Elephas maximus indicus: one gene and its partners. The protein of the gene in region 1 interacts with the protein of each later gene in a biochemical or structural test. Links are inferred from orthologs where the notes say so. Each region holds a gene or a part of one and is shown in the gene's direction. Other genes may lie near its edges. The genes, in order: RAB5A, CHML, RBSN and APPL1.

Region 1 (7,312 bases):
TCTTCACAGTGTTATCCATAATTTGTTATGATCCATACAGTCGAATGCCTTTGCATAGTCAACAAAACACAGGTAAACAGCTTTCTGGTATTCTCTCCTTTCAGTCAAGATCCACCTGACACCAGCAATGACACCCTGCGTTCCATGCCCTCTTCAGAATCCGGCTTGAACTTCTGACAGTTCCCTGTCGATGTACTGTTGCGATTGCTTTTGAAAGATCTTCAGCAAAATTTTACTTCTGTGTGATATTATTCCCCGCCCCCCCATCTCCACCCTGCTGTTGAGTCGATTCTGACTCGTAGCAATTCCATAAGGTTTCCAAGGCTGTAAATCTCTACGAAAGCAGACTGCCACATCTTTCTCCTGCAGAGCTGCTGGTGGTTTCTAACCGTTGACTTGTCGGTTTGCAGAGATAATCACTTTAACCCCTGTGCCACCCAAGTTCCCTGGTGGCGCAGTCGTTAAGCTTTCAGCTGCTAACCAAAAGGTCAGTAGTTTGAATCCACCAGCTGCTCTTTGGAAACCCTATGGGACAGTTCTACTCTGTCCTATAGGGTCACTATGAGTTGTAATCGACTCGACAGCAACAGGTTTTTGTTTTTCTTGTGTGTGTGTGATATTAATGATATTGTTTGATAATTTCCGCCTTCTATTGGAGCACCTTTTTTTGTAATGGGCACAAATATGGATCTCTTCCAGTTAGTTGACCAGGAAGCTGTCTTCCAAATTTCTTGATACAAATGAGTGAGTACCTCCAGTGTTGCAACCATTTGTTGAAACATCTTACTTGGTAGTCTGTCAATTCCTGGACCGTTGTTTTTTTCTCATTCCCTTCAATGCAGCTTGGACTTCCTCCTTCAGTACCATCAGCTCTTGAGCATATGCTACCTCTGGAAATTTTCCCCACAGAATCCTTCATTATTGCAACTCCAAGCTCAAATTTTTTTCTTCAGTTCTTTCAGCTTAAAAAATGCCAAGCATGTTCTTCCTTTTTGGTTTTCTAACTCCAGGTCTTTGCAGATTTCACTATAATACTTTACTTCATCTTCTTGAGAAGTCCTTTGAAATCTTCTGTTCAGCTCTTTTACTTTATCATTTCTTCAGTTCGCTTTAAAAAAAAAAAGCTACTCAATATCCAACAGCAAGTTAGGAGTAACCTCCTGTTGTGCAATTATTCATTCAACCAATGTTTGTTGAAAACCTGCAACATGAAAGGAACTAATTTGGATCCAGGGAACATGAATACCTGGAACAGCTCCTCAGTGATTCAAGCAGTTTGCAAAGCAATTGTGTTTAAGAGTTCCACTGCTAACCAATAGGTCGGCAGCTCGAATCTACCAGGTGCTCCCTGGAAACCCTATGGGGCAGTTCTACTCTGTCCTATAGGGTCGCTATGAGTCAGAATTGACTCAACAGCAACATGTGTAACCCAAGGGTAAGGAGCCATGGTGGCACAATGATTAAGAGCTTGGCTGTTAATTGAATGGTTGATGGTTCAAACTCACCCATCACTCTGTGGGAGACAGATGTGGCACTCTGGTTTTGTAAAGATTCCAAAAACCAAACTCACTGTCACTCAGTCAATTCTAACTCATATCGACCCTACAGGGCAGAGTAGAACTGCCCCACAGGGTTTCTAAGACTGTAAATCTTTACAGAAGCAGACTGCCAAATCTTTCTCCCACAGAGTGGCTACTGGGTTCAAATCGCTGACCTTCTGGTTAGCAGCCAAGCGCTTTAACCACTGCACCACCAGGGTTCCTTCTGTAATGATTAAAAAAACAGCCTTGGAAATCTCATGGGGCAGTTCTATTCCATCCTATAGGGTGGCTATGAATCGGAATCTATTTGGCAGCAATGAGTTTGGGTTTGGGTATCATAGTGAAGATCCTCTTAAGCTCTGTGAGAAACTGAACTTTGTAATCCTAAGAAGACTGAAGGGCTGAGGAGAAAAGTCTAGGAACTTTCTGAGGCAGGATGTTAGAAGAACCATTATAGAGAGTAAAGCAAAGTACTGGGAAACCACAGAGGAAAGAAAACGATAATTAAATCTGGGAGAAGTATACATAGACGCTGTCTAGAAGTTGGCATCCCAACTGAGGTGAGCCTGGCAACGATGGGCCAGGTAATGGTGTTCAGGTGGAGAGAACAAAGTAAGATGCCAAGATGGGAACATGTAGGTATGACGCATCATGCTTTTCCGGTTAGCATGGAGGAGCATAGGGTGGTTAGGGGATGTAAGAAGGTGAGTTGGGACTAGAGCTAAAGAATTTTGGACTCTATTAAGCAATGAGATATCATTGAACATTTTTGAAGAGGAGAGTGGCTAAAGTGTGAAGAGTAGATTAAAAAGGCAAGCTGTTTCTGCCATCTAGTTGATTCTGACTCAGAGTGACTCTATATGGCAGAACACAACTGCTCCATAGGGCTTCCTACACTGTAATCCTCACGGGAGCAGACAGCCAGGTCTTTTCTCCTGCTGAGCGGCTGGTGGGGTCAAAGCACCAACCTTTCAGTTAGCAGCCGAGCATTTAACCATTGTGCCACCAGGGCTCCTTCAAAAGGCAAGAACGTGCATTAATTCTAGCTTTTATGAATACTACCATGGCCCAGGCTTTGGGATTAAAAAAACACAAACCGTTGCCCATCGAGTCAATTCCTATTCATAGCAACCCTACAGGAGAACTGCCCCGATAGGGCTTCCAAGGAGTGGCTAGTGGATTTGAACTGCTGACCTTTTGGCTGGCAGCCGAGCTTTTAAGCCACTGCACTGCCAGGGCTCTGGCTTTGGGATTATAGCTCAAATTTTGAGACTAGAGAATTTTTAGCAACAGAGTGGACAATGGTTTATGAAGAAGAGAAGGAAGAATTGATGATTCTTTAGTTTCAAGAGAGGGGGGGACTGAGAACCTGTTAACACCAGTCACAAAGCAGAAGCAGGTTTGAGCAGAATAGCTTTGGTTGTCTGTTCTGGGGTTTTTTTTTTTTTTGGACGTGCTATTTACGTGCCAAAACTAATGTGAGGTATCCTCTTTCCTTATTCTTCCTGGGATTGTCCAAGAGGTATTACCATGACTAATATTATATTGGAACAACCCCTCGAGGATAAAGTGCCACAGATACCATTTAGGTATGACACGTTACGCTCTTCTGGTTAGTTATTGGGCAGTTGATCTGAATGAATGCGTGCTTAAGGGTTCAGATCATTTCTACTGCATTATGTTGGCAGAGTACCCACAGGATGCCTTGCTCTGATATACTTCAAAGACAATATCATGTCCCTTCAACAGGCTATAAATTGTAAACTGAAAAATGGTCCTCATTCTGAGGGAAAATCAATTTAACATTCTTCCTCTGAATTGCTAAAAGGATTTTGTTTGGATACAGGTGTCTTGCAGAGACTATCTATTGTGTGGGATTTTACTGAAGAAGTATGCCTTCAGTAGGTCTGCTGTAGAGGGTAATCAAAGTCTTGAGCTGGCTTTCAGTGGAATGTCTGTTTAAGAACTCGGGTCCTGGAGCCAGCTAGTAAAAAAAAAAAAAAAGTAGGTTAGAAAAACAATTTCATCACTAACTAGGCAGTTACTTTGGACAAGTTACTCAATCTCTATGCCTCAAATTCTTTACCTGTAAAGCAGGCACGCCTCATTCATTCATTCCATAACCATGACTGAAGATAAGTGGGTTCCAGGCACTGGGCTAGACACCAGGTTTACAGCGTTGAGGGCCACTCTGGGGGTTACTATTTTAATGTAGGAAGCCAAAGGAGAAACACGTTAGTTTCAAAATGAATACCTAGGAGTTTAAGAAATGGGATAATTCCTGGAAAGCACGTGACATGGGGGGCAGTAGAGCAAAAAGCCCCTTAGCCTAGTTGCCCAAGATTGAGGTGTTCCGGTGTGGGGAGAGGGGGGCTGTGAGCTAATATTCCCAGAGGGAACCTCGCCGCCCAAAAGGGCTCGGAGTAACAAATTTAGCTCTTCAGGTCTTACCCCCAAACCAGGCAGTAGCGAGTATGCTCCGCCCACGCCGGGAGCCCCAGGGCCCCGGGCTCTGATAACAAAGGCGCCAGCGAGGGCGGGGCCGCGCGCGCCTGTGATGGGGCAGGGCAGCAGGCAGCCCGACCCGACCCGGCCGCTCGCGGGCATCACGTGACACGCCCATCCCGCGAACGTGCTCCCGGGGTGGGCGGGGCCTGAGAGGGGGCGGGGAAGTGGATAGAGCGGTCGGACTGGCTACGACAGGAAGTGACGAAAGGGCGTAGTTCGCTACGTGCAGCGACGTGGCGGCGGGGTTGGCGGAAGTGGCTCCCGCGCTGGGACTTGAGTGTTTGTGTTTTGGTTTGTGAAGAAGCCGGCGGCCGGCCTAAGGGGAGGAGGCGGAGGAGGGAGGAGGAGGAAGAAGTGGTCGGACCCAGAGCGCCGGCGGCGACGGAGGAGGAGAAAGGAAAGAGGAAGGCGGAGCGGGGAGAGGCGGAGACGGAGTCCGACGGGGGCGGCACCAGCGGCACGAGCCCAGCACCGTCCAGTCTGAGGGGAGCGGCGCAAGGAGGAGACGCTGCCGCCGCCTAAGCCACAGCCTCAGCCTCAGTTTCATCCTTCGGGCTTGGGATCTGCTGCCGGGAAGCTTTGGCCCCGCAACCCCGCGCGCTGCGGTCGCAGGTAACCCAACCGGCCCCTCCCCCTGCCAGATGGGGCCCAGACCCCAGGTTACCCGCGGCCCCCAGCCTGCCTGCACCCCTGCCGGCAGCGAGCCCCCGCCCTTACTCCTCACGCGTGCCGTTGCTGTGGGCCAGAGCGTCGTCGAACCCGGTGGCCGGTCCAGTCGGCCCTGGTGACTCATCCGTCAGGGGGCTTTACTGACCGGGATTTGGGGACTGGCTGTGGGAGGGACGGGTGTCACCCTCTCCCTTCTCAAGATGGCGACGTGGGAAGAGTACTGGAGGCCGCGGCTCCGCCTGGCGCCTGCCGTGGCCGTCTTGGGGGTCCCGGGCAAAGCCAGGCTGGGTTCTCGGGAGGAAGCTGCGAAAGATTGCCAAGGGGCCTTGCTGGTCTTGCGTATCCCGGCGATCTGGAGTTGGCCAGCAACTACTGGGGTACACTACTAGGAGGAGCCGGGGCCTACGGCAGGTGTGAACTGGGGGGAGCTCCGCCTACCTTCTACTTCCAAAGACGGGTGATCGTGGAGGTGGGGTGGGGAGGCTTTTCAAAATAGGCTGTCTAGAGAGTCGTGTGTCATCCATGGAGGATGGTAATCCACAGTTTTAAAGAAACTCAAGATAACCAGACCTCTGGACCCCCTCGGCAAATAGAGACCGTGAAGTCTGCTCGGGTGTTTTTTTCCCTGGAAACTCGTTACCCCTCCACCTCCCCCCGCCCGTGACTTTTAGACTCGTTAAGCTGAGAACATCATAATCCATCTATTTGGCTTTTGTGTTTTGCTTAAGTGGAGCCTAAGTGTTGAGTTAGTTGCTTTTCTCGTAATAAAGAAAAAAACACTTATGGGAATATTCAGGACGGTTCAGAAACTTTAAAATGGGGATAAATAATATGAGCTCATCGGGTTGTCGTGGTTAAAGTACATAGAACAGTGCCTGGACAAAAGAAGTGCCCAGTATGTTAGCTGTTATTAGTAAAAATTTGATCAAAGAGCACCTAGAAGGACTTTAGTTATAGAGTACTGGTTATTTTCAAAAGGTTTAAAAATACGTTATTATGCAAAATCCTTGTTTTGCCGTACAGACGAAAGTTCCAGCAAGTAGTGAATACAAATGAATGCACATAAAGTATTTTTTAACCTTAATGTTATGCGAACTGTGTGTTGGCAATTCGATTTAGTTTGCTATTTCCTGTTTGAGACCCTTGGAGAAATATAACCCAGTAACTTTAACCCTTGCAAGGCAAAGCTAGATCAGATTCTCGGTTTTCACGGGAATCTGATGTTTTCCCCGAAATTTTAGAAATACCATCAAAATCCTAGCATGTTGTCCTTGATAACTAATTGTTTGCTGTTTTGTAGATAACATGTAACAAACAATTGGAGAATGTTTCAGCTGCTGTTGTGTGTAATATTATTTCAAGGTGTGTTGGTTCATTTTCAGTCTGAAGGACATTTAATCTTCTCTTCAGATGGCCACTTGAATTGCCAGTTTTCAGGCCCTACTGTGTTTTGGGCATTGTGTTAGAGATTCATTTCATGTGTCGTCTCATTTAATTTTCACAACAGCTCTACACATTACGTTTTACAGAAATTAAAGAACCTAGGCAGGAGTCGGTATAACCGAGATTTGACCCTCAGTCTAATGTGTTTAAGGTAGAACATTTTTTTTTTTAATTATGAAAAATTTTTAAAATATTCAAAAGTAGGGAGAATAGTATAATGAACCCATCACCAGCCTCAGTTGTGTTATGGCCAACTTGGTTTATTTATGCCCCCATTGTTTGAAAGCAACTCTCAGACAGCATATCATTTCATCTGTAAATATTTTAGTGCTGGTTAAAGAAAAAGATACAGTATTGATAAAGGTAAGAGCTCTTCAGAGCTGTTGGATAGGTGATTTTATTGTCTTGATCCTCCTGGCTATGTTTATTAATGATTTCATTATCAAAAATGTTCCTTATATAAACACAAGTTTTATGGAAAAGCAAATTTTCTATATGGGGTGACTAAATAAAATAGAAAAGAACTTTTTAGGGAGAGATTCATCTTCAGGTTTCGTATATTTTATTGGCAAGCACGCAGTCAGATCTTGATTAAAGATGGGAGAAAACTGTTACGATAGCTTTCTGATTAGATTGAAAAAATGGAATGGATTCTTCAAATATTTACTTATTCTTTTTGAGATCGAAAGTTGACATTAGATAATGATAAGAGAAGACGTGGAAACTTACCACCCAGGTTAATTTTTTCAAATGTGTTGTTTAATAGAAAATAATGAGATTTATCGTTAATGACACTGTAGAAAAGTATAGTAAATAAAACACTAATCCCACCACAAAGAGAACCACTGTTAACGTTTTTTTCGTATGATGTTCTTGAGCAGATGAGAAAACAGTTTTAAGTCTCTTAGCCACTAGACACACAAACCTGGGGCCTTAAAATATGTTACTCCAAATTAATGAAAAACATGCACCATTTAACAGAGGCTTTCAAAATTAACATATTTTGAGCTCTTTTGGAGTGCCAGGATCTGTTTTCAGAGATTTCCAAGCTAGTTCTCAAAACTATTTTAACTCAAGTCCTCTAGCTCTACAATGTGAACCCCGAGCCACCTCTGGAGTTGCCTGGGTTTGAAACTCAGCTTTGTCACAGC
Region 2 (6,855 bases), on another chromosome or scaffold:
GCTGCCAAGCTCATCTCCTTTCTCTGCTTTTACCTCCTACAATAATTCAACAGGGCACTAACGACGGCTTTTGCACTTTGAGGAAAGAGACGAGGAAAGTAGAATCGGGAGATTCAAGGAAAAAAGTGACTAACTCGTGAAAGTTGGGGGAAGGGTAACGGGAAGAAACTTAATTCATACACATTTTTTTTTCTTATTCCTAAAATGAGAGGTGGAAACCTAAAATAATAGCAATGTGTAATTTTTTTTTTTCTTTTGCACCTTAGCAGTTGTAAACCTTTGAATGCTTCCTAGGAAGTGACACAGTTTCATTCAGGAATGCAAATTAGCATGTGTCCTATCAGCTGTTTTTTACTATATTTTCCTCCTTATAGGTTCCATGACACCAAAATCTAAGGTGAGAATCCCAACTCAGATGAACAAATAGCTGTGCAAACAGTAGATTTCATTAAAGCAGAACGACTTGATTGTTAATTGAAAATTTATCTCTACAGTTTATCTCTTCTAATCCCCATGGAAGAATTAAATCTCACAGAAACTGACATTTTAAGGATGATCAACCCAGCATTTCGTTGGAAGACATGATTTTCTAAGCTTGGGAAATAAATTATTTTGGGGTGCCCTTTTTTTTTCTGGCAGTTTTATTTGAACAATGATTTGAGATAGAAATGTATATTTTTCAGGTGTTAAAATTCCTTTTCTGTCCAGAAATCTATTGATAATTTATGACTGCTTTTTTATCTTAGCAGGTTTCGGAGAACAAAATCTTTGTAATAATCATCAAAAATATTTTGCTCACCGATTTCTTATGCTGTGACAAACCCAAATATGATGTTTGCTAATGGTTCATTTTTTGATATTTTGAAGCAAACAAGAAAATGTCGTAGGAATCATCACTCCATTAATTTAATTATCTCAGTAATTCTAATACCATTCTCTCCCCACTCCCCAGTAAGCGTTCATCTGAGACTTTCATGTGTACAAAGATTTGAAACTTGGGGAGGGGGCTTTAAGTGTATGTAGGTGATGATACAGATGGCTATGTGATTAAATTCTTTATATTAATAAAAATACCTATTAGGCTTTTTTTTTTTTTAAAGTCAGGGCTAAGCTTTAAAGAGGGTGATTCAAGGCCAAGTGTCAAAAATAATGCCCCCTAGGATGGACAACAGGTGTTTGGTCATAGATGTGAAATCTCTTATTTCCACAAAGTACCTTTTCTGTGCTGGGAAATTCTATTTCTACCTTAATCTGCCTGGAAGGTAGTTTGAAAGCAATGGTGTATTGAGTTCTTTATTACTGCCAACGTGGACCCTCTCCTCAACCTCTTTCCTCTGCCTACACCACCCTCCTGTCTCCTGTCTCCTTTTTCTTCTCTCCTCCTTCACCTTCCCTGCCCAAGGCCCATCCCAATCAGAAGCGATTTTCAAAGAATGCTAGAAACACTCATCGTGCAGTCTTTTACCTCAGGACTGCTCTGTTTTTCTGGGCATTTGGTCAGTGTTTTCAACCATGACTTTATTCCTGCTTTTGAATTAGAGGTGGGGACTCAGAGGTAAGAGGTCCAGAGACCTGTTTAAACCCTTGGAGACAGGTCAGGAGTGGGGTTATGATGGAGCTTGAAAAGTTCTTAGTAACGATTCAGATTTCTTTGGAGTAAATTCTAAGGATGATGCTTCTAGATTAGGGTTAAACATGAAGAAGGCAGCATGCTTCCCCAGGTATTATTCTTGAGCAAAAAGCAACTAGCCATGGAGTACTGAAGAGGGAGGGGGGAAAAAAAAAGCTGCAGTGGCTACACCCTGTCCTCAGCCCCCAGAGGCATTTGAGGAGGCTGCCTGATATAGTGGGAAAATATAGTGGCTGATGGCATGAGGGTGCATTCCGCTCTTGAGTCTATGGCTGATGAACTGTGTACATTTTCCCAGGTCGATTAAACTCTCCAGGGGTCAGTTTTCTCATCTCTGTTATGGAGTAGTTGAGCTAAATGTTCTCTAAGGTCTCGTCTAGCTATGTATTTTGATGACTCCTTTGATATTTGTAGCTTAAGAGGTGCTTTCTTTTAGCACTTGTGGCTTCTGTCCTCTCTCTATACTGACTTCCACCCTCAGCTCCTAACTATCCCCTGCTAAGCTAAGGATAAGCCTGTGCTAGGATCACACTTCTTCACGTACCCTCGTGGAATCTGTCACTCTCTTCACACCTGCTGGAAGAAGGCAGAATAAATAACTCAGCCATACGTACATATATATACATGTATAGGCCAGGCAAACACCTCGTTCTGTGTGCAGTTCCTGGTTTCTCAGGGAATGAGGCAGAGGCTTTGACTAGACAGCGTAGGTAGGCCTAACTTGTACTGATGCAGATTCTAGTAGGTTAAGCAGAAAGGGAGATCAGAATTCAAAGCACTGTCACTCTTACTCACTGTGTAATGAATGATAGAAAGACCCCTCTAGCAGCAGAGTGTGTAGAGGGCAGCCCTCGTGCATAGGTGTGGGGAGGTCGTGCTTTACTGTAGACTTCTAGGTGAGAATGCCCTTTAGCCCATGGCTGCTCCACAGCTGGCCACACCTAGTGCCACACGGGTGTTCTGCACATGGAGTATGCTGGAAGTTCACAGAAGACTTTAATCACTACCACCTCCCACCCCCTCAAAACCAAAAACATCAAAAAAACACGTTAGTCTTGGCAGAGGATGTTTAGACAGCAAGTATTTCTTGGGATACAGAGATTCAGAGTTGTAGAAGTCTAGCAAAATACGAAATCATCCTATTCAAATGTTAGAAGTAGATGTAAGTTATTTATGTTAAGATATTCTAACATATGAACCCGGGAATGTTCTACAGAACATATATGTGCGTATGTACATTCACGTAAAAAAATTGTTACAAATAAATATCTTTCCCGGTAGGCCTATTCGTTTATGCACCTAAGTATTTTTAAATGCCGGTTGCTTTACCGATTTACAGATTCATCTTTTATTAATAACCGGCTGATTAATTCAGTCATAATAGTCATACTTTCATGTGACTACCATAAGATCCTATGGGTGGTTGGGGTCTGGAAAGGTATTCTGGTCAACACCTCTAGAATGACCAACTATATTGGCCTTGGAAATACCCCTAATCATGACAGTATTCACATAGCCTATAATCTATTCCCAGAAATACAATGGCATCACACATTTCTTAGAGTCTAAACTCATAGTTGTATGTAGTTTTATTGAAAGTAAAACTTACAGAATTTTATTATGCTAATTCTTCTTTATTTTTGTCAGACATTATTATGTCCATTTTTCGTTATCAAACTAAGTGATTTGCGAGAGTATATCTCCATTGTTCATTTTCAGGAAATTAGAAACTATGTGAGAAAGCATTTAATGACTTGATTTAGCTGAGGTTTCTATCCAGATAACAAGTGAGGCCCCATCAGACTGTAATTGGTGTTGCATGAAATTACTTTTATGTTGTTTACAATTGTATTCTTTTTTGAATTTTCTTCTTTCAGAGAAGAGTTCCAGTCACAAATGCATATGTGATGCATTTTGACATTCACTGCTAAGATGAAATACAGAAATGAAAACCACACATCACTTTTAGTATTCTCAGAATGATTAGATGTACTTTATCATGTTTTCATGCTACTGACCTATAAGAAAATATATATATATATATATTTAAAAAGGGTAATCATTAAACAGCTAGGACCTGCAACCTTGATGCCTCTGGGATGAACTGGAACATCACAAGGAGAGACTCTATTTCAGCATAGTCACACCTCGGCTGAGCCCTCATCCTAGAGTTGTACGCATTTCCTTCATCGGCAGTTGTCACCAGACACATTACCTCCCAGGATGGCAGACAGTCTCCCCACAGAGTTTGATGTGGTTATAATAGGGACAGGTTTGCCTGAATCCATCCTTGCAGCTGCAAGTTCAAGAAGTGGCCAGAGGGTTCTGCATGTTGACTCCAGAAGTTACTATGGAGGGAACTGGGCTAGCTTCAGCTTTTCAGGATTGCTATCCTGGTTGAAGGAATATCAGGAAAACTGTGTTGATGGGGAAGAAAGTACAGCTGCATGGCAAGGCCTGATCCATGAAACAGAAGAAGCCATTACTCTTCGCAAGAAAGATGAAACCATTCAACACGTGGAAGTTTTTTGTTATGCCAGTCAAGATTTGGATGACAGTGTTGAAGAGGTTGGTGCTTTGCAGAAAAATCCTTGCTCAGTGGCATCTAGTACCCTCACTGAAACTCTGGATTCTGCATGCTTGGGCGAAGACGAGCACTTAGTACACATTCCTAGCTATGAAAGGCCTGCCCAAGACACTTCAAAAAGTGATGGAGAGATTTCGCTAGATGTAAATGACGTCAAGGAACCCCCGGAGAAAGGAAACGATGGTGGAGACAGAGCTCGTGCTCACGCGGTTTCAGATGCAGACAAAGATGAAAACAAACCTGCAGGAGAAGGCAACACAGACCAGCCAACAAGAAACAGGATTACTTACTCTCAGATAGTTAAAGAAGGCAGGAGGTTTAATATTGATTTGGTATCAAAGCTGCTGTATTCTCAAGGATTGCTGATTGACCTTTTAATCAAATCAAATGTCAGTCGATATGCAGAATTTAAAAATGTCACAAGGATTCTTGCATTTTGGGAAGGAAAAGTTGAACAAGTGCCTTGTTCCAGAGCAGATGTCTTCAATAGCAAAGAACTCACTATGGTTGAAAAGAGGATGCTCATGAAATTTCTCACGTTTTGCGTTGACTATGAGCAACATCCTGATGAATACGAAGCTTTCAAGCAATGCTCATTTTCAGAGTACTTAAAAACTAAAAAATTAACTCCAAATCTCCAACATTTTGTACTGCACTCAATTGCAATGACATCAGAGTCATCTTGCACTACGATAGATGGCCTTAAAGCAACAAAAAACTTCCTTCAGTGTCTTGGACGGTTCGGCAACACTCCCTTCTTATTTCCCTTATACGGCCAAGGAGAAATTCCCCAGTGTTTCTGCAGGATGTGTGCAGTCTTTGGCGGAATCTATTGTCTTCGGCATAAGGTACACTGCCTTATAGTTGACAAAGAATCTGGGAGATGTAAAGCAGTTATAGATCACTTTGGCCAAAGGATAAATGCCAAGTATTTTATTGTGGAGGATAGCTACCTTTCTGAGGAAACATGTGCACATGTGCAGTATAAGCAGATCTCTAGGGCAGTGCTCATTACAGACCAATCTATACTGAAGACAGATTCAGACCAGCAGATTTCTGTTTTGATAGTGCCTCCAGTAGAAGCAGGGACCTGTGCTGTTCGGGTCATTGAATTATGTTCTTCAACCATGACATGCATGAAAGACACCTATCTGGTGCATTTGACGTGTTCATCTTCTAAAACAGCAAGAGAAGATTTAGAATCAGTGGTGAAGAAGTTATTCACCCCATATGCTGAAACGGAAGTAGACAAGGAAGCGCTTGAAAAGCCAAGACTCTTGTGGGCTCTTTATTTTAATATGAGAGATTCCTCAGGAATCAGCAGAAGCTCATATAATGGCTTGCCTTCCAACGTTTATGTCTGTTCTGGGCCTGACTCTGGTCTGGGAAGTGAGCATGCTGTCAAGCAAGCTGAAACACTTTTCCATGAGATCTTTCCAAGTGAAGAATTCTGCCCCCCACCTCCAAATCCAGAAGACATTGTCTTTGATGGTGATGATAGGCAACCAGAGGCTCCTGGAACCAATAAGACAATAATGGCTGAACCAGAATCCTCTGAAGAAAGCAAAACCCTAGAAAGTCCAGGGAAGCTGCTTCAAAATTAGAACAGGCAAAACTGGAAATTCTGCATTGGCGTCAGAATATTCTCATTTCAAGGACAGTTTCCATATGAATAAATAGAAGTGGTTATATGATAAATGCAGTGCTAGATGTTGTCTTTAACTCTCTATGAGACAGACATTCAGTCATTGGATGTCTTTGTTTATCGGTAGCTGATTCATTGCTTATTGGACTTCTTTTGTTTAAGAATGGACCCCAAGATCCATAAACTTAAATAGTGTTAGCTTTATTTTTGGTATTGCATATATATATGAGCGTTCCATATTCGGAACTCTGCTTAAAGGAAGGTAATATTGTATCCAGTGATCTTCAGATTTTATCATTATCTACAGAGCAATTAATAATCCCTAAGGAATATTTCAAATACTTTTGCAACGATTGCATTTCCTACCACATCTGCTTTCTTGGAGATATTCGAACAGTGAACCACACAAAAATAAATTATGTGAGTCTTTTTATGTGTATTATGGACACGTAGTGTGGCGATGGTAATAGCAACCAATCCAAGTGCCAATATGATAAAATACATTTGTCTGTAATTGTTAAGCAAATAGCCTTGCATGATTCTTTATTCTTTGTGAAGGGCTGATGTTTAAAATACATTTTATGGTATAATTCAGCAGCTTGACCTTGGTAACCAACTGAGTTAGTTCCATATTACAGAAAGAGTCAGAATTTACTAGTTGAAGAGCTTATTTTTCAGAGTTTCATTTGAGAAAAAAGTTAGAGGATAAGATTAGTTCTGGTTTAATACTTCAGAAAATCTCTGCAGAGCCCTGCTCTAACTTGAAGTTCAGTAGATGAGGCCAACTCAAAAGAACTTCCAGCAAGTAACTCAGGCCACAAAGGGGGGCAGCAATGCTCCAAGAAAAGATACTTCACAGTGGCTGTACTGAAATTCCTAAGAAATTGACTGAGGCATGTTTAACCTGGGATTAAAGCCATCGCAGTTTAAATCCACCAGCCATTCTTTGGAAACCCCATGGGGCAGTTCTCTGTCCTGTAGGGTTGCTATGAG
Region 3 (7,525 bases), on another chromosome or scaffold:
TGCTGTTCTAGCACTTTCCAAACATTAGCTTTCTACGGGGTTCAAGAGTTTCCCCCTAAAACTCAAGTCCTTCCCAGAATCTCAGAATGTGACCTTTTTTGGAAATAGTCTTTGCGGATGTGATTGGTTAAATTAAGATGAGGTCATCAGGGGATTAGGGTGGGCCCTAAATCCAGTGACTATTATCCTTGTAAGAGAAGAGACCCAGAAGCAGACAGACACACAGGGAAGAAAGGCATGTGAAAATGGAGGCAGAGGTTGGGGTTACGCTGCCACAAACCAGGAAATGCCAAGGACTGCTGGCAACCTCCAGAGGGTAGAAGCAGCAAGGAAGGATTCTTCCCTAGAGCTTTCAGAAGAGAATGGCCCAGCTGACACCTTGATTTTGGACTTCTGGTCTCCAGAACCAGGAGACAACAAGTTTCTGTTGTTGAAAACCACCCACTTTGTGGTACTTTGTTACCACAGCCTTAGGAGACTAGTAGCAACTCATTTAATCCTCCACCCTAGGAACAGCGACTATTATTATTGCATTTTACGGGAAACTGAAGCTCAGAGAATTTGAGTGATCTGCTTGGAGCCACACAGCTACAAGTGGCAGAGCTGGGATCCAAACCCAGGGTGGCTGCCTCCAATGTCTGTGCTTCTATCCACCATACCTTGCTACCTCCCTCCTTACTCCATGTCTTATTTCCTCCTTTCTCTGTGTCTTTCCTGGCAGAAGCAGCTACCACCTGCTCCCCTATTCACAGCCTAGCCTGGCACCCTCTACCCATTCTTCAGACAAGGCCCTGCCTCCCCGTGGTCTGCTCTGGGCCACAGCAGCAGCTGGCAGAGGCCTGGGATCTGGAACTTGGGCCAGTACGGGGGAGCGAGACCTTTGGGGCATTACGTCATGTGCCACACACCTTCCCCTGATGTCCACATCATGATTTCCCTTCCTATCAGGGATTTTGATGGGATGCCAAGTGCCTTGTGCTACTCAGGATAAACATATATAGACAATAAGGGACCAGAGAGAGACATAGAGCTCTAAGGTACAAGGGGAGGTGAAGAGGTCCAGCTGCCGGTGATCCCGCCATTAGAGTCAGCTCCCTGTGGCCTGTGGTTTCGGGCAGGGCTTCCAACCAGTTCAGTCATGGCCGAGGAAGCAAAACAGGAAGAGACCTGAATCAAAAACAAAAAAAAAATTTTTTTATTCTACTTTAGATGAAGGTTTACAAAGCAAATTAGTTTCTTATTAAACAATTAATACACATATCATTTTGCGACATTCGTTGCCAACACCACGACATGTCAACACTCTCCCCTTCTCGACCTTAGGTTTCCCGTTACCAGCTTTCCTGTCCCCTCCTGCCTCCTTGTCCTTGCCCCTGGGCTGGTGTATGTTTTGTTTTATGGGCCTGTCTAATCCTTGGCTGAAGGGTGAACCTCAGGAGTGACTTAGATACTGAGTTAAAAAGGCATCTGGGGCCATACTCTCGGGGTTTCTCCAGCCTCTGTCAGGCCAGTAACTCAGTTTTTTTTTTTTGTGAGTTAGAATTTTGTTCCACATTTTTCTCCCAATCTGTCCAGGACCCTCTATTGTGATCCCTGTCAGAAAGGCTGTCGTGGTAGCTGGGCACCATCTAGCTGTGCTGGACTCAGTCTGGTGCAGGCTGTGGCAGTTATGGTCCATTAGTCCTTTGGACTAATCTTTCCCTTGAATTTTTAAAATTTGGGTGAACTGGAATGATACCTGGAACAGGGAGAATTACAGGTCAAAGCCCTGCTGGAAACTTAATCTCCCCCTTAGGAAACAGGGGCAGCATACTCATTGCATAGCTATCAGTTGTCTTGCCCATTGGATTTTGAGCTGAGCCGGAAACAGCGGTGCCCTGCTCAAAGATGGCAGTTGACTTCACAGCTTGGAATGTGTGTCACTCTCTGCCTTCCTGCCAGTAATCCAATCTCACGCATCAGGCTCCTGAAAGGGCTCACTACATCTCTTCTGAGTCTCCCATTCCAGGAGTTCAACCTGTAATTTTTCCCATTTCAATTATCATTCCAGATCACCCAAGTTTAAAACTTTGAGTCTGTTCTAGTTTTGCTTCATTGACCATGACTAAACTGGTTTGAAGCCCTGGTTTTGGGAACCAGAGCCAGTGCCTTCACATTATCATTCTAGGTGTGAACAAACTTTCCTAGGTTTTCAAAGGACTCCTGTTCTTCCCCACAACCATGCCTTTGCGTATGCCCCTCCCCACCCCGCCTCCTGGAAGGCCTTTCCCAACCCTCTCTACCTGAGGGTTCTGCTCCTATGTTGCCTCCCTGGAAACCTGCCCTGGATTTTCACAGAGGGAATAATTAACCTCTTCTCTGATGCCGGAGCTCCTGCACACATGTGCAAACTCTTTTTGAATGTGTCTGTGTCCCCCTGATGGCTGAGCCTCCTCCAGGGAGACTGCCCTGCCTCCTCTCACTCTCTCTCTCTTTGCTTGGTACATGGTTGGTGCCTGGGAAATGATGAGAGATGCAAGAATTTTCAGTGTTCAGGTCTGGACCCCAAGGAGGGGCGGGGTTTGAAGGCCTCGAGGCAAGATGACTCTGGGTTCAACATTTACAAGCTGTGTGACCTTTGGCAAATCACCTAGCCTCTCTGGGCCTCAGATTCTTCATCTGTAAAAATGGGAGGGATATTAATTTGTACCTCATAGGGTTGTATGAGAATTAAATGGTATGTAAAACACACAGAACAGTGCCTGGCATGTGCTAATCACTCAGTAAATGTCAGTCATTATTATTGTTATTTTAGAAATGGGAAAAAGAGTAGTTGGAAGGATTAACTAATGTATTGAATGTGGAAGTGCTTTTTATAAACTGTGAAGCACACAGGAAGGTCTTTGTTACCATCATTTTTGAAAATATCAATAGAACATCAGTGAGTCATCTTCAAAACACAGTTCAGATAACTAGTAAAAAAAGGTCTGTCTTGAGCATTATGTTCTTTTAAGAATTATCTCTATGGGATCAAATTGACAACAGCAACTTGAAAGATTAGATAGGAACCTCAGAGGGTAGTGAGTTTAGGTTAATGAGGTAGGAACATCTTAGAAAAGGAGGGTGAGAATGGTCGCAATCAATGTCATTAAATTGTACATGTAGAAACTGTTGAATTGGTGTATGTTTTGCTGTGTATATTCTCAACAGCAACAAAATTAACTAAAATTTAGAAGGAAAAAACAATTGGAACATCAGTGGCAGAGCCATCATGATTCTAGCATTAATTCACAAGCTGCAGGTCACATTGCCATGGCTTTTTCGAGCAAACCAAAGGGTGAATGTGATACTGGTTTTTGTGGATGATAAAATGCCAGGCGAACGCATGATGGTTTAATACAAGGTTCATCCTCTGACCGCAATGATATTCCCACCTGTAAGCATGGCTCCACAACCTATTGCCATGAGTAGGGGGCCATCTCGGTGGTAGCTAACAACAACAACAACCGCCCCTCATTTAATCCTCATAAAAACCTTATGAGGTGGAGACTATTATCCCCATTTTACAGATGGTAATACTAAGGATCAAAGGGGTCAAGGAAGACCAGGGATCTGGAACTCCAAGGCCCAAGCCATCATGCTCTGCAGCTCTTGCTTCTGAAGCCCAGGCCACTGCTAAGCCCAGTGTCTCACCAGCACTGGAATTAGGTTTTGTCTCTATATACTTTGTGGTTAGTGCTGAATAATCCATCCTGTTTTTTGAAATGTCACAGATTTGAACATATTGTACGTCCACTGGATACGCCTTCTCATTCCAAGCGCACACACTTATGTGGTTCTATTCCGAGTTTTCCCACATCCTCGGCTTTCCTCAAGTCTTCCAACTCTAGCTCTCAAGGACTTTGACTCTCGAATTAATTTAGAACTGCAATTGGGAGTGGGGGTAGAAGGCGTTAAAGACCCCCTCTGCTGACTCATTCACTGGCACAATGAACTATAAAAAACCCAATCCATTGCTGTCAAGTCAATTCGACTCATAGCGACCCTATAGGACAGAGAACTGCCTCATAGGGTTTCCTAGTCTGTAATCTTAAAGAAAGCAGACTGCCACATCTTCCCCCACCCTGCAGAGCCACTGGTGGGTTCCAACTGCCCACCTTTCGATTAACAGCCGAGCACTTGAACCACTGCACCACCCAGGATCCTTACAAAGGAATTATCCAAACACAAAAAACCATCCAGTGGCTTCTGACTCATAGCGACCCCACAGGGTTTCCAAGCCTGTAAATCTCTATGAAGCTGACTGCCACGTCTTTCTCCCGCGAGAGCCGCTGGTGGTTTCCAACCAACGACATTTCGGGTCGATGGTTTTAACCACTGAGCTACCCGCCGTTCTTAAGGCACCTACACATAGCCCGCCGGTCCTCTTCGGGCGGGTGGAGTACGTTCCCGCCCCTTCACGCCCTCGAAGACTCGGCGCTCTACGGGCGTCTGCCAGCCTGCCTTCCGGTTTTGGCACCGCCTCCGCAGGCGCGCCTGCCGAGCACCGAGCCGAGGATGGCGATGGCGGCTGCAATGGTGTAAGGGGCTGTGAAGGCCCACAGCCCCGGCGGGAGGACCTGACAGGTCTGCGCGGCCGCGGAACCCCGACCGGTTGCAGAAGCCAGGTCGAGCCTGGAGGGCGGAGGCGTGGCGCCACTCGGCAACCGAGACAGGCCGGCCGTGCGGGCGTGCGGTGTGTGTGACATACGTGCTGGGAGATGCGGCTTTTGGGTTGTGCGTTTCGCTTGTGTGTGCTTGTAGTGATTGGGCTCTGTGTGGTTATGCGGGGAGCGTACGGTTGGTGTTTGGTTATGCGGCTGAGAAGCGGGTGGCTGTCTCCTGAATGCTTGTGTTCAGTTCTCTGGTTGTGTGAGGTTGAAGCGTTCGTGCTCAGAGTTTGTGTGGGGTTGTTTGTAGTGTTTGTGTTGTGTCTGCGGCGTGTGGAGTTGTCATGTCTGTGCTCCATGGGGGTTGGGTTTTTCCAACAGTCTGTGGTTATACGACGTGTGCATAATCGTGATGTGTTATGTGGGCCAGTGCTGTATGCGGTCTTGAGGCTGTGGTGAGCGCGGCTGCGGGAGGTGTAGTCTGTGAGGCATGTGGTAGGATAGCATTCAAGTAGGACGCGTAGTTGTAGGATATGTGGATTTTATTTTTATTTCTTGTGCGATTTGGGGTTTTGGAGCTTGCATATGTATTCAGTTATGGTTGTGGGGTCCAGTTAGGTGGTGTGTGTTTGGCTATATGATTTTGGGGTTCCTTCATTCATTCACGGGCTTACTGCGTTTTGACTATGTGTGTGCCAGGCACTGTGCCAAACCCTGGAGATATGATGGTTGGGAAAACAGACGTAGTTTCTGCCCTCATAGAGCTTACAGTCTTGTGTATTTAGTCACTTTACATACGTACGTGTGATTATAAATTGAGATGAGTGTTGTGAAGAAGTACAGGTGCTATCAGATGGAGGGTGTGCCTCCAGTCAGAGAAGGCTTCCTTGAGGAAGTGGGGTTTGGGCTGGGATGTGAAGGGTGAGTCTGAGGGAGCCTGTGGGGGCGGTGGTGGTTAGTATTTGATTTGTGGTGGTTATGGGTGAGTGCAGGGGAAGGAAGTGGGCTCTCAGAGTCAGAATGTCAGATGGACCATTGTCTGGAGAGAGAACAGATCAGACCTGGGGCTACAGTTTCCGTGACCATCTAGAAAAGGAGCTGGGAATTGCGTGTGTGTAGTCGTTAAGCTGGTTGTTGTTTGTTGTTAGCTGCCATGGAGGTGGCCCCTGACTCATGGCAACCACTTGCACAACAGAAGGAACTGCTGCCTGATCCTGTGCCATCCCCATGATCAGCTGTGGGCTGGACTGTTGTGATCCACTGGGTTTTCATTGGCTTATTTTTGGAATCAGGTCAGGCCTTTTCTCCCAGTCCATCTTAGTCTGGAAGCACCCCTGAAACCCATTTAGCATCATAACATGCAAGGCTCCGCTGACAGATGGGTGGTGGCTGCACATGGGGTACATCAGCCGGGAATCAGATCTGGGCCTCCTGCATGGAAGGTGAGAATTCTACCACTGAACCCCAGTATTTCTTAGCTAGAGGAAAAAAACTGGGACCTGGGGTCTCCAGTTGATTAGTTTCTGGGTCACTGCCACTCTTCAGGTTTGGGGCCAAGAAAGTCCCTCTTCAATGGCCCTCTGAACAAGTTCATCCAGAGCTGAGGGTCACAGCTAGGTGTGGCTAGAGTTCCCCTGAGGAGAAATTTCTGCTTTCGTGGAATGTTTTTATCTGGATTCTTCCTATGGCTGGGAGTCTTTCTTAGGCGACCTTGGAAGTGACTTTGCCATGACCCAATGAGCCAGAAAATGTAACTTATTAAGTCCTGAAATCCTTTTGTTTTTGAAGCAGTGAGAACATTGGGCCTGCTGTTCAACTGCCACTAACTGATTTATAAAATCTAGTAAGCTCATTGGTGAGACAGTGCTCTATAAATATAAAACGCAAAACAGATTGTTCTTTTCATTACACTAGGTTTTGTAATGCTCCTGCTTTGACTGAGATGGGTTTTTTTTTTGTGTGTGTGTGTGTTTGGTTTGTTTTGGTCTGGTTTTTTGTTTGTTTTTTAGGGCAGGCACTCTGTCTTTTTCGTCTTTGCATTCCTGGCTCAGATGCTTTGCAGGTAGCAAAAACCCAATATATGCAGTTGAATAAATGATCCAGGTAAAGAGAGTCAAATAAAAACTACTACTTGGTGATGAATACTTCAGAAATTTCTTCAGCGGCCACGGTGGCATCAGATTATGAAGTTGGACCATTTGGAATAATGTGAAAAGAATTGCCTTGGTGTTGTGTTTGCTTTTGAAGTTGAATTTTCCTTTCTGGTCCTCAAGACTCTCTTCTTCCTGCTTCAGTGAGTTTCCGTTGTCCAGTGACATTCTCAAAATCTTAGACGACTTTGTGTTTTTGTTCTAAGGACTTGAAAAAGTAGTTTGCTTTCTTAAACTTGCAGTGACCAAACATTAAGAACCTTTGTTGAATTGTGAAAAGACAAAGAGGATTTTCAATTGCTGCTAATTTGTCTGAATTGGGTTTTTTCCCTCTTCTTCTTTCCTTTCTCAGGGCTCTTACTACTCCAGAGAGGAAACCTCATCCAGGGCCGCGATGCCACTTTCCCGTCATCAGTGTGCTGTTTCGTTAAGCTAATGCCGCAGGAGCCCTGGCCCCTTGTGGAGGAATCAAGCTGACTTTTGGCATGAGGCTGGTGCCTTGTGGGGGTTGAGAGGGCACTGCCATGGCTTCCCTGGATGACCCAGGGGACGTGAGGGAGGGTTTCCTCTGCCCTCTGTGCCTGAAGGACCTGCAATCTTTCTATCAGCTTCAGTCACATTACGAGGAAGAGCATTCAGGAGAAGATCGTGACGTCAGAGGACAAATTAAAAGTAAGAGGCACATGGGATGGTTTTCATCAGCTTCCGTGTTGCTACCAGAATATAATAATCAAATCAGTTAGTATA
Region 4 (7,068 bases), on another chromosome or scaffold:
AAGTCCTGTTTTTCAGATGCCAGAATGGAGACACAGAGAGGTACGCAATTTGAGTAAAGTCACAAAGTTAGTGGAGCCAGAATTTAAAGCCCGGAGCCCAGGCCCCTGGTCTCATCCACCTCCCCATTTTCATCACAGAAGTGGAAACCATGCTGCTTTGTTTCCAAGTACTTCCCCTGATCAAAGAAATTAATTTACTAATGTCTTCTTGTTCCAAAAAGGAATCAAGACAACCATAAAAGAAACAAACCCATACACAATTATCCTAGAAATAAGGCTTTTTTCTTTTTACAGTCCACGAAGTAGAAGTACAGAATTTTCCCTACATTCTAACAACGCTGCAGCAATGAGCAAAAGCAGTATCAACGTCAAGGTCAAAGCCAGAGGGTGGCCCAAGAACAGTCAGTTGGTTTTTGCTACCTTCCCACCTCTTCTTGCAACCCACTCCTCAGAACTTTTCTTCTACCCTTCAAACAGGGTTTTGAACCTGTTCTTCCCGGTTCAATCACGGCTAAGGAAGCAACACCAGAACACACTGGAATTTTTAAAATTTGAGTGAACCAGAACCATAACTGGGACAGGAAAAATTACGAGATGAAGCCCTGCTAGAAACTTATTCTCCGTCTTATAAAACAAGGGCAGCTTATGGTGTTGCACAGCAACCAAATCTCTTGCCCACGGGATTTTGCGCAGAGTCAGAAACAGCAATGCCCTGCTCAAAGATGGCTGCCAACTGCAGCGCATTTAAAGTGTGTCACTCACTCTCCACAGTCCTGGAAATAACCCTTTCTTTCTGCATCAGGCTCTTGAAAGGGCTCACTATGCCTCTTCCAAATCTCCCATTCCAGGGCCTCAACCCATAATTTTTCCCTTTCTGGTTATGGTTCTGGATCATTCAAATTTAAAAAAATTCAGGTCTATTCCAGTTTTGCTTGTCAGCCATGACTGAGCCAGTTCTAACTGGTTTGGAGTCCTGCCTTCAACTACTCAAAGCTTTTACCTACTTTACCACTGATTCTAATGTTTTAAAGGAACAGAAGTGACTCAAGCTCTCAAATTAAAAATTAATATACCCATTCCCTGAATTTGGTTCATCTCAGCTGGATATCAAGAAGAAAACAATTATCTGTTAAAGTGAGTCCCAGTAAGAAGTGATTTACTTGGGTAACATCTAGAATTATTTGCATCATACAGTATGCTCCTAAATGGAGCATGAATCCCCAGAATTTCAGATTGGTGGAGTCTTCGGGGGGATATTTGTGAGTATGAGGCTTCCCAGGGTCTCCAGATGATTCTGGAAATGGTGCCCCATCACCATCTTCAATTGGAACCTAGAATTCCATTTCTAAATGTTTACTTGACTCCCCAAATTTTCTAAAATGCAAAGTTATATGGGAAAGGGTGTCTTGGGCAGAGTTTTTCAACATGTGGTTTGAGGATTACCTACTTCAGACTCATGTGGAGATCTGGGGTTTAAAACCCGGGTTCGCAGTCCCATCTCTAACCTAATGAATTATAATCTTGCAGCAGGATTTGGGAATCTGCATTCTAACAACCTCCCCAGATGACTTTTATGTGTGCATTTAAGTTTGGAAACCACTGGCTTAGAGGGATGACTTTTAAAAGTAAAGCACCAGCATCATTTGAGTTGTTGGATTCTTTCCTACTGCAGACCACAAACCAGAACTTCGAGGAGTACCACGTAAAAATCTAATTATAAGAAGGCAAAACATAATTTTAGGAGGCTAATAATTCACAAGTCTATTTACAAGATTATACGTCCTTTTGTTGTAAATTATAGGTGTGAAACGTCTCAATGAATTCTTTGGTGGATGCCGTTTAATCCTGCCTTGCCTTCCATAAAATGAAACAGCTGGACCAAGTCTTTACTGCGCTACCCACACACGAGTCTCCAGTAACCTCCAAAGCACTCTCTGAACAAGCCTCATTTCCTGTATAAAAGGAAATGGGCTTAAAATGAACTGAGTTTGGATAACTACAGAAAATTTAGGCTGATTTAACTTAAACTAGTTATCAAAGGAGACTGTAGATTCTACACCCTTAGAGATGTTTTAAAACAGGAAGCACAACCATCTTTTTGGATGAGCAGGGGGTTAAGTGGCCTAAAGCTGGAGGATTCAACTGGAAGGCCTTTTAAGATTCTTTCTACTTTTAAAATTCAACTAAACCTCATCTCCACTCAATTGAATGTCAATCTGTTTTTGTTTGTTTCATTTTTTAGCCAGTTGAGCCTGGCAAGAATTCCTTGCCCCTCTCTGACAATGAAATAGCCTCTTGAGAACCCTTTACAAAAAAGAATTTAGCTGGACATACAAAAAAAGAAACCATTTAACTTGATGACAATACCCCACCCAGATAACTCAGATACCTAATTGAATTTTTCACTAGAATTATTTGGCTTGGCTGAGTTAACTGGCTAACTTCCCTTCAGTTACACCATATAATTACTCTTCTTTCTCAGACATTTTCACTTATTGATTTTCACTACCTTTCTTCTACTTCACTTATAATCTAAATTGCAGTTCAACCCAGAAGGTCACTTACCTTGAGAGTCTTCCTTTTTAGAGTCAGTTTCACGGTGCTTGTGCTGACAGCATCAGAAATATTCATTGAGGGCAGAGCTGGGTTGCTGGGGTCTGCATGATGGCTGGGTACATCTATGCAGCTGTGAATGCTGTTGTTCAAAAACGTTAAGAATTGACTCCAAACCATCTTTCTCAAAAACTAAAGATCTCTTCTAGAGGGTGACTCGTGTACAGATAAACAATCTAAGGGGCTAGTTCTCATTTCAAGCTTATAAAACTAAGACTAATTCTTTGAAACTATATCCCAAGTCTACCTGGCAAAACTTTCTTAACCTCATTTTATCTTTCCTTCAAGAGATCATGAGGAAACCGAGTATTTTAGTTTAAAATATGTGATTTCTATTCCTGTTACTGTATGGATTTGTTCCAATGTATGTGTGTAAACAAGCAGCTAACAACCTTTACCTGGCATCTCTTCTGTTTAACTGAAACTGGAATAGATTGAGGGATTTAATGGCTACATTTTCACAAGACTCTGGTGATTTTACCATTTTCTCTGCATACTGATGAAAACTTTTTAAAACTCTACACAGAAACACATGAGAAGTGTGAGGATGGGGCAGAGGGACGAAGAGACAGGAGGTAGGCCGGCTTCTAGTTTTGATCTGGTTAAATCCCCAACTTCTTTGAGCTGCACTTTTTTCTCTGCTTGTAAATTCAGAGGCTAAAGAAGCTGTTTAAAGTCTGTTCTGACTTTTTCAATCTGACAGAAATGCTAATCAGTTACCAAATAATAAGCTAGTGTACTGTGATTTTTAAAGATCTTGTATTTGTGATTTAAAAGACAAACCTAAGTCAAAGTTGCTGCGCGTCAGTTCAAGGCCAGGTAAGAACCGGCGAAGCCGGCAACCAAGTCACCTGTTTTGAACTGAGTATACTGATATTTAAATACCTAGAAAATTATCTGGAGTCAATCTCCACAAATTTACCCGAAAGCCCTGTGACACACTCGGGACCTCACAGAGCTGAGTCAGCCAGCACCATTTTGCGGCAGGGGGAAGGCTGGAAGCTTCGGACATGGGTGTAATTTGAGGAAACGAAAGAAAGGCCCAGCGGTCGAGCTTTTTCAAAGGTCCCTGACGACAAAAGTTGCGTGAGAAGCGACACCGCCCCACACTCCCCAGTGTGGTCCTCCCTCGACGCTCCAGTTGCCGGCGTTCCCACGTCGCCTACGAGTCGCACCCAAGCGCGCGCGCAGACCGGCCCTCCCCGAGCGCCCGCCCGCCGCCCCGCCTTCGGGGCCCGCACCAGCCGCGCGGCCCGACGCAGCCAAGGAAGCTCGCGGCCAGCCCCCCAGCGCCGACGGACGTCGCCGTCAGCCAATGGGTGCACGGGGAGGCGGAGCAGCGGGGCCTAGGGGCGGGATTTCCCGCGAGGCCGCTGGGGGCCTGGCGAGGGTGGCGCGGGGCGGCGACAGCGGCGGCGCCTAGCAGGGAGGGCGGGCCGGGGTCGGCTGCTGCGGGCGGGCGGGCGTGGGGAGCTGTGGGCGGTCGCGCGTCTCCTGCCGTCGCCCTCCCTCCGCCACGATGCCGGGGATCGACAAGCTGCCCATCGAGGAGACGCTGGAGGACAGCCCGCAGGTGAGCGCGGGCGGCGAGGGGAGGAGCGGGCCTGGCCGAGCCCGGGCCTGGCGCCGCCGTCGCCGCAGGTGCCCACCCGGCCCAGGTGGGCGCCGCCGCCCAGTGCCCCCGCCCGCGGAGCCCGTCGTGGGCCGCGCCCGAGCCGCCGAGCTGGGCCTGCCGCCCGAGGCCGGCGTGGGCCTGCGCGGCTGCGCCGAGGCTGCGCGCGGGGTTGGGGACAGCCGCCGGCCGAGCCCGAGCCGCCGCCGCTTCGCGCGTGGGCCCGGCGGTCACGTCCGCGCGCCAGCCTCCCAGGGTTTGGCAGTAGGTGCGTTTCTAGCGGCGTGATGGGAAGTGGTAAGCCCAGACTCTGCACGCTGTCCCCGGAAAGCCTTCTCGGAGAAAAGGCAGAAGGGGAGACAGCCCGGGAGCGTTTGGTTTCTGAGGCTCGGCGTGCGAGAAAAGGAAATGCAGTTTTTCTTCGGGAGATGCTGAAAGGCTGTCAGTTTGCCCGTGGGGAGTCGTCGGCGAAGCCCGTCGTGGGCCGCGGAGCCTGCGCCCGCACCTCCCGGCCGAGCGTGCCCGGTGTCGTGGCCGCCGGCGCTGGAGGTGGCACTGCGCGGGATGTGGTGCCCCGTCTTCGCGGACCCACGGCCGCCGCGCCGCGCGGGGCAGACTTGGTCCTAATAAACTCCTCGAAATACAGGCGCTGCCTTCGGAGTTTAGGGCGTTGTTTTCCTAGCCGAAGACGTTGTAGGAAAACGTAGCCATTCGATCCTTTTTCAGTACTCAAGAATGTACACAGCTGTTTTTAGGCGGGGGGCGGGGGGCGGGGGGGGGAAGATTGGTGGGCGCTGTAACTTGCATGGATGAACTGCATCCCTGACCCTGTGTTTTGGAAACGCTGGTGTAGTGGTTAAGAGCTGCGGCTGCTGACCAAAAGGTCGGCAGTTCAAATCCACCAGGTGCTCCTTGGAAACTCTCTCCTCTGGGTCGCTATGAGTCAGAATCGAGTCGGGGGTAACAGGTTTGGTTTGGTTTTTGAAGCCTGTCTTTTACACGGTAATTGAAGCGATTTTAAGATGATACTGCTGGCTGAGCACCACTTACAATGAAGAAAATTTTCTGAAATATAATTCACTTTGAAGTACAGTTGCACGTGTTTCATGTTTAATATGACTCCAAAAGAAAAATGGGAGGAAAGGGCTAGATTCCCCATCCTGGGTACTTCTACCCTGAAGTTTGTGCCAATTTTAATTGCCAAGTTGAAATTGGGCTCTGATTGTGGATTTTTTTTGTTCTGAAAGTTATCTTCACAGACCAGTTGTCTTGTAATATACTCTTGTCAGCCTGTACTGACAGAGAGAAAGCCAAATCTTGGATTATCTTGACTGCCATAATAGTTCACATTCTTTTTTTCCTGACTCTCCTAGTATAAAGTTAGCCCTGGTGGTGCAGTGGTTAAGCATTAGGCTGCTAACCAAAAGGTTTGCAGTTCAAATCCACCAGCCACTCCTTGGAAGCCCTATGGGGCAGTTCTACTCTGTTGTATAGAGTCGCTATGAGCCGGAATCAACTCGACGGCTACAGGTTTTCTTTGGTTTTAGTATAAAGTTATAAGCTATATTTCAGGTAATCTGCAAAAATTTTGTGGGCTGTATTGGTCAGGTGCACCTAGTCATTTTATTTTTTCCTACTTAATAATCAACAGATAGCCTGACCTTTCTTACCTTACCTGGTGCTTTTTTTTTTAAAAGCCGGTAAAGATTACACAGCTCAGAATGGTTGCATAGTGCCCTAGCCATGGTGTGTGAGGAGGAAATAATCTCTTGACTGATTAATTTCTTGAACTTTTCACACAATTAGTTTACAACTTGAGCTTAAGTTTTTTAAAAGCACACATCATATTACTATAAGTTCTACAGTAATTTTTAATGAAATAGGCCAATCGATATTCTTTTAATTTCTAAAAGCAACAAACTTGAACTAGGTTGTATTTATTTGGGACAATTAGTTGAAACAACTGGGATTTGGGAAGAGAAGATACTTGGAGGTAATTCTTAGAAAGAGATGGACAGGATGGAAAGCCCTGGGTCTGGGATCAGGAGCCATGGTTCTAGTCCTCGTTACTACTTAGTACCTTCTGCTTTAAGGCAAGTTACTCAGCTTCTCTAAGCCTCATTATAGTGAATGTTTTTGTTCCTGATTATAAAAATAATAATTATTTGCTTCAGAAAACCTGGAAGGTACAAAAAATAATACATACACACATGCACATACCTATCATACACCCAGCAGCAAACCCTGTTAACAGTTTGCTTTCTTTATTCTTGTCTTTTTCCTCCTATATGTTTTAATGCAATTGAGATATTGTATATAACCTTTGTCTTGCTTTATTTAACATTATAGCTTAAGTATCTTCCCATACTTTTACATTCTGAATTAAAAAAATTAAAGGCTGCACATTTCCCTGACAGACTCAACAATTGTCCCATTGTTGGACTTTTAGGACTTTTCCGAAGTTTTGCTTCTATAAATAGGGCTGAGATTAATGTCTTTGGTCGTAGATTTTTTTGTTTTTACTTCGGGCTGCTTAGGATAGAGTCCAAGAAGCAGACTAACCAAGAGTATGAAAACTTTTAAAGCCCTTGATACAACAGATGAATTTTTATTAGATCATTTGATCATAATAAAAAATAGCCTGCCAATTGATATGTAAAAAAATTAAAGCCTAGGAGTCACGGAAGAATATCCTGAATTACAGTTATCCCTTTTTAGTTCTGATTTACAGTAACTAGGGGGAATTATTAAAATAGGGGAAATTTGCAAGTCCAAGTCCAGCTGATTGACTGTAAGCATCTTTAGAATTAGCTAGCCCAGACCACACCATTCTGCAAAAGATC

Evidence for each region.
Region 2: the proteins of RAB5A (region 1) and CHML form a complex in vitro, tested with the Homo sapiens proteins (2 studies listed by BioGRID). The link is inferred for Elephas maximus indicus from reciprocal best matches to the Homo sapiens genes RAB5A and CHML.
Region 3: the proteins of RAB5A (region 1) and RBSN form a complex in vitro, tested with the Homo sapiens proteins (3 studies listed by BioGRID, with this or other methods). The link is inferred for Elephas maximus indicus from reciprocal best matches to the Homo sapiens genes RAB5A and RBSN.
Region 4: the proteins of RAB5A (region 1) and APPL1 form a complex in vitro, tested with the Homo sapiens proteins (2 studies listed by BioGRID and IntAct, with this or other methods). The link is inferred for Elephas maximus indicus from reciprocal best matches to the Homo sapiens genes RAB5A and APPL1.

Annotation. Positions count from the first base shown.
Region 1 is NC_064845.1:19,813,870-19,821,181, reverse strand, and holds the start of RAB5A (ras-related protein Rab-5A), read left to right. Parts: upstream 1-4,310; 5' UTR 4,311-4,661; intron 4,662-4,766; exon of another isoform or gene 4,767-5,110; intron 5,111-7,312. UniProt on the Homo sapiens protein: The small GTPases Rab are key regulators of intracellular membrane trafficking, from the formation of transport vesicles to their fusion with membranes.
Region 2 is NC_064842.1:22,516,006-22,522,860, forward strand, and holds the start of CHML (rab proteins geranylgeranyltransferase component A 2), read left to right. Parts: upstream 1-3,853; coding exon 3,854-5,821; 3' UTR 5,822-6,855. UniProt on the Homo sapiens protein: Substrate-binding subunit (component A) of the Rab geranylgeranyltransferase (GGTase) complex. Binds unprenylated Rab proteins and presents the substrate peptide to the catalytic component B.
Region 3 is NC_064838.1:38,698,007-38,705,531, forward strand, and holds the start of RBSN (rabenosyn-5), read left to right. Parts: upstream 1-4,515; 5' UTR 4,516-4,605; exon of another isoform or gene 4,606-4,714; intron 4,715-7,130; 5' UTR 7,131-7,302; coding exon 7,303-7,450; intron 7,451-7,525. UniProt on the Homo sapiens protein: Rab4/Rab5 effector protein acting in early endocytic membrane fusion and membrane trafficking of recycling endosomes. Required for endosome fusion either homotypically or with clathrin coated vesicles.
Region 4 is NC_064838.1:61,882,784-61,889,851, forward strand, and holds the start of APPL1 (DCC-interacting protein 13-alpha), read left to right. Parts: upstream 1-4,064; 5' UTR 4,065-4,132; coding exon 4,133-4,186; intron 4,187-7,068. Other genes in the region: HESX1 (homeobox expressed in ES cells 1), read right to left, coding at 2,566-2,733. UniProt on the Homo sapiens protein: Multifunctional adapter protein that binds to various membrane receptors, nuclear factors and signaling proteins to regulate many processes, such as cell proliferation, immune response, endosomal trafficking and cell metabolism.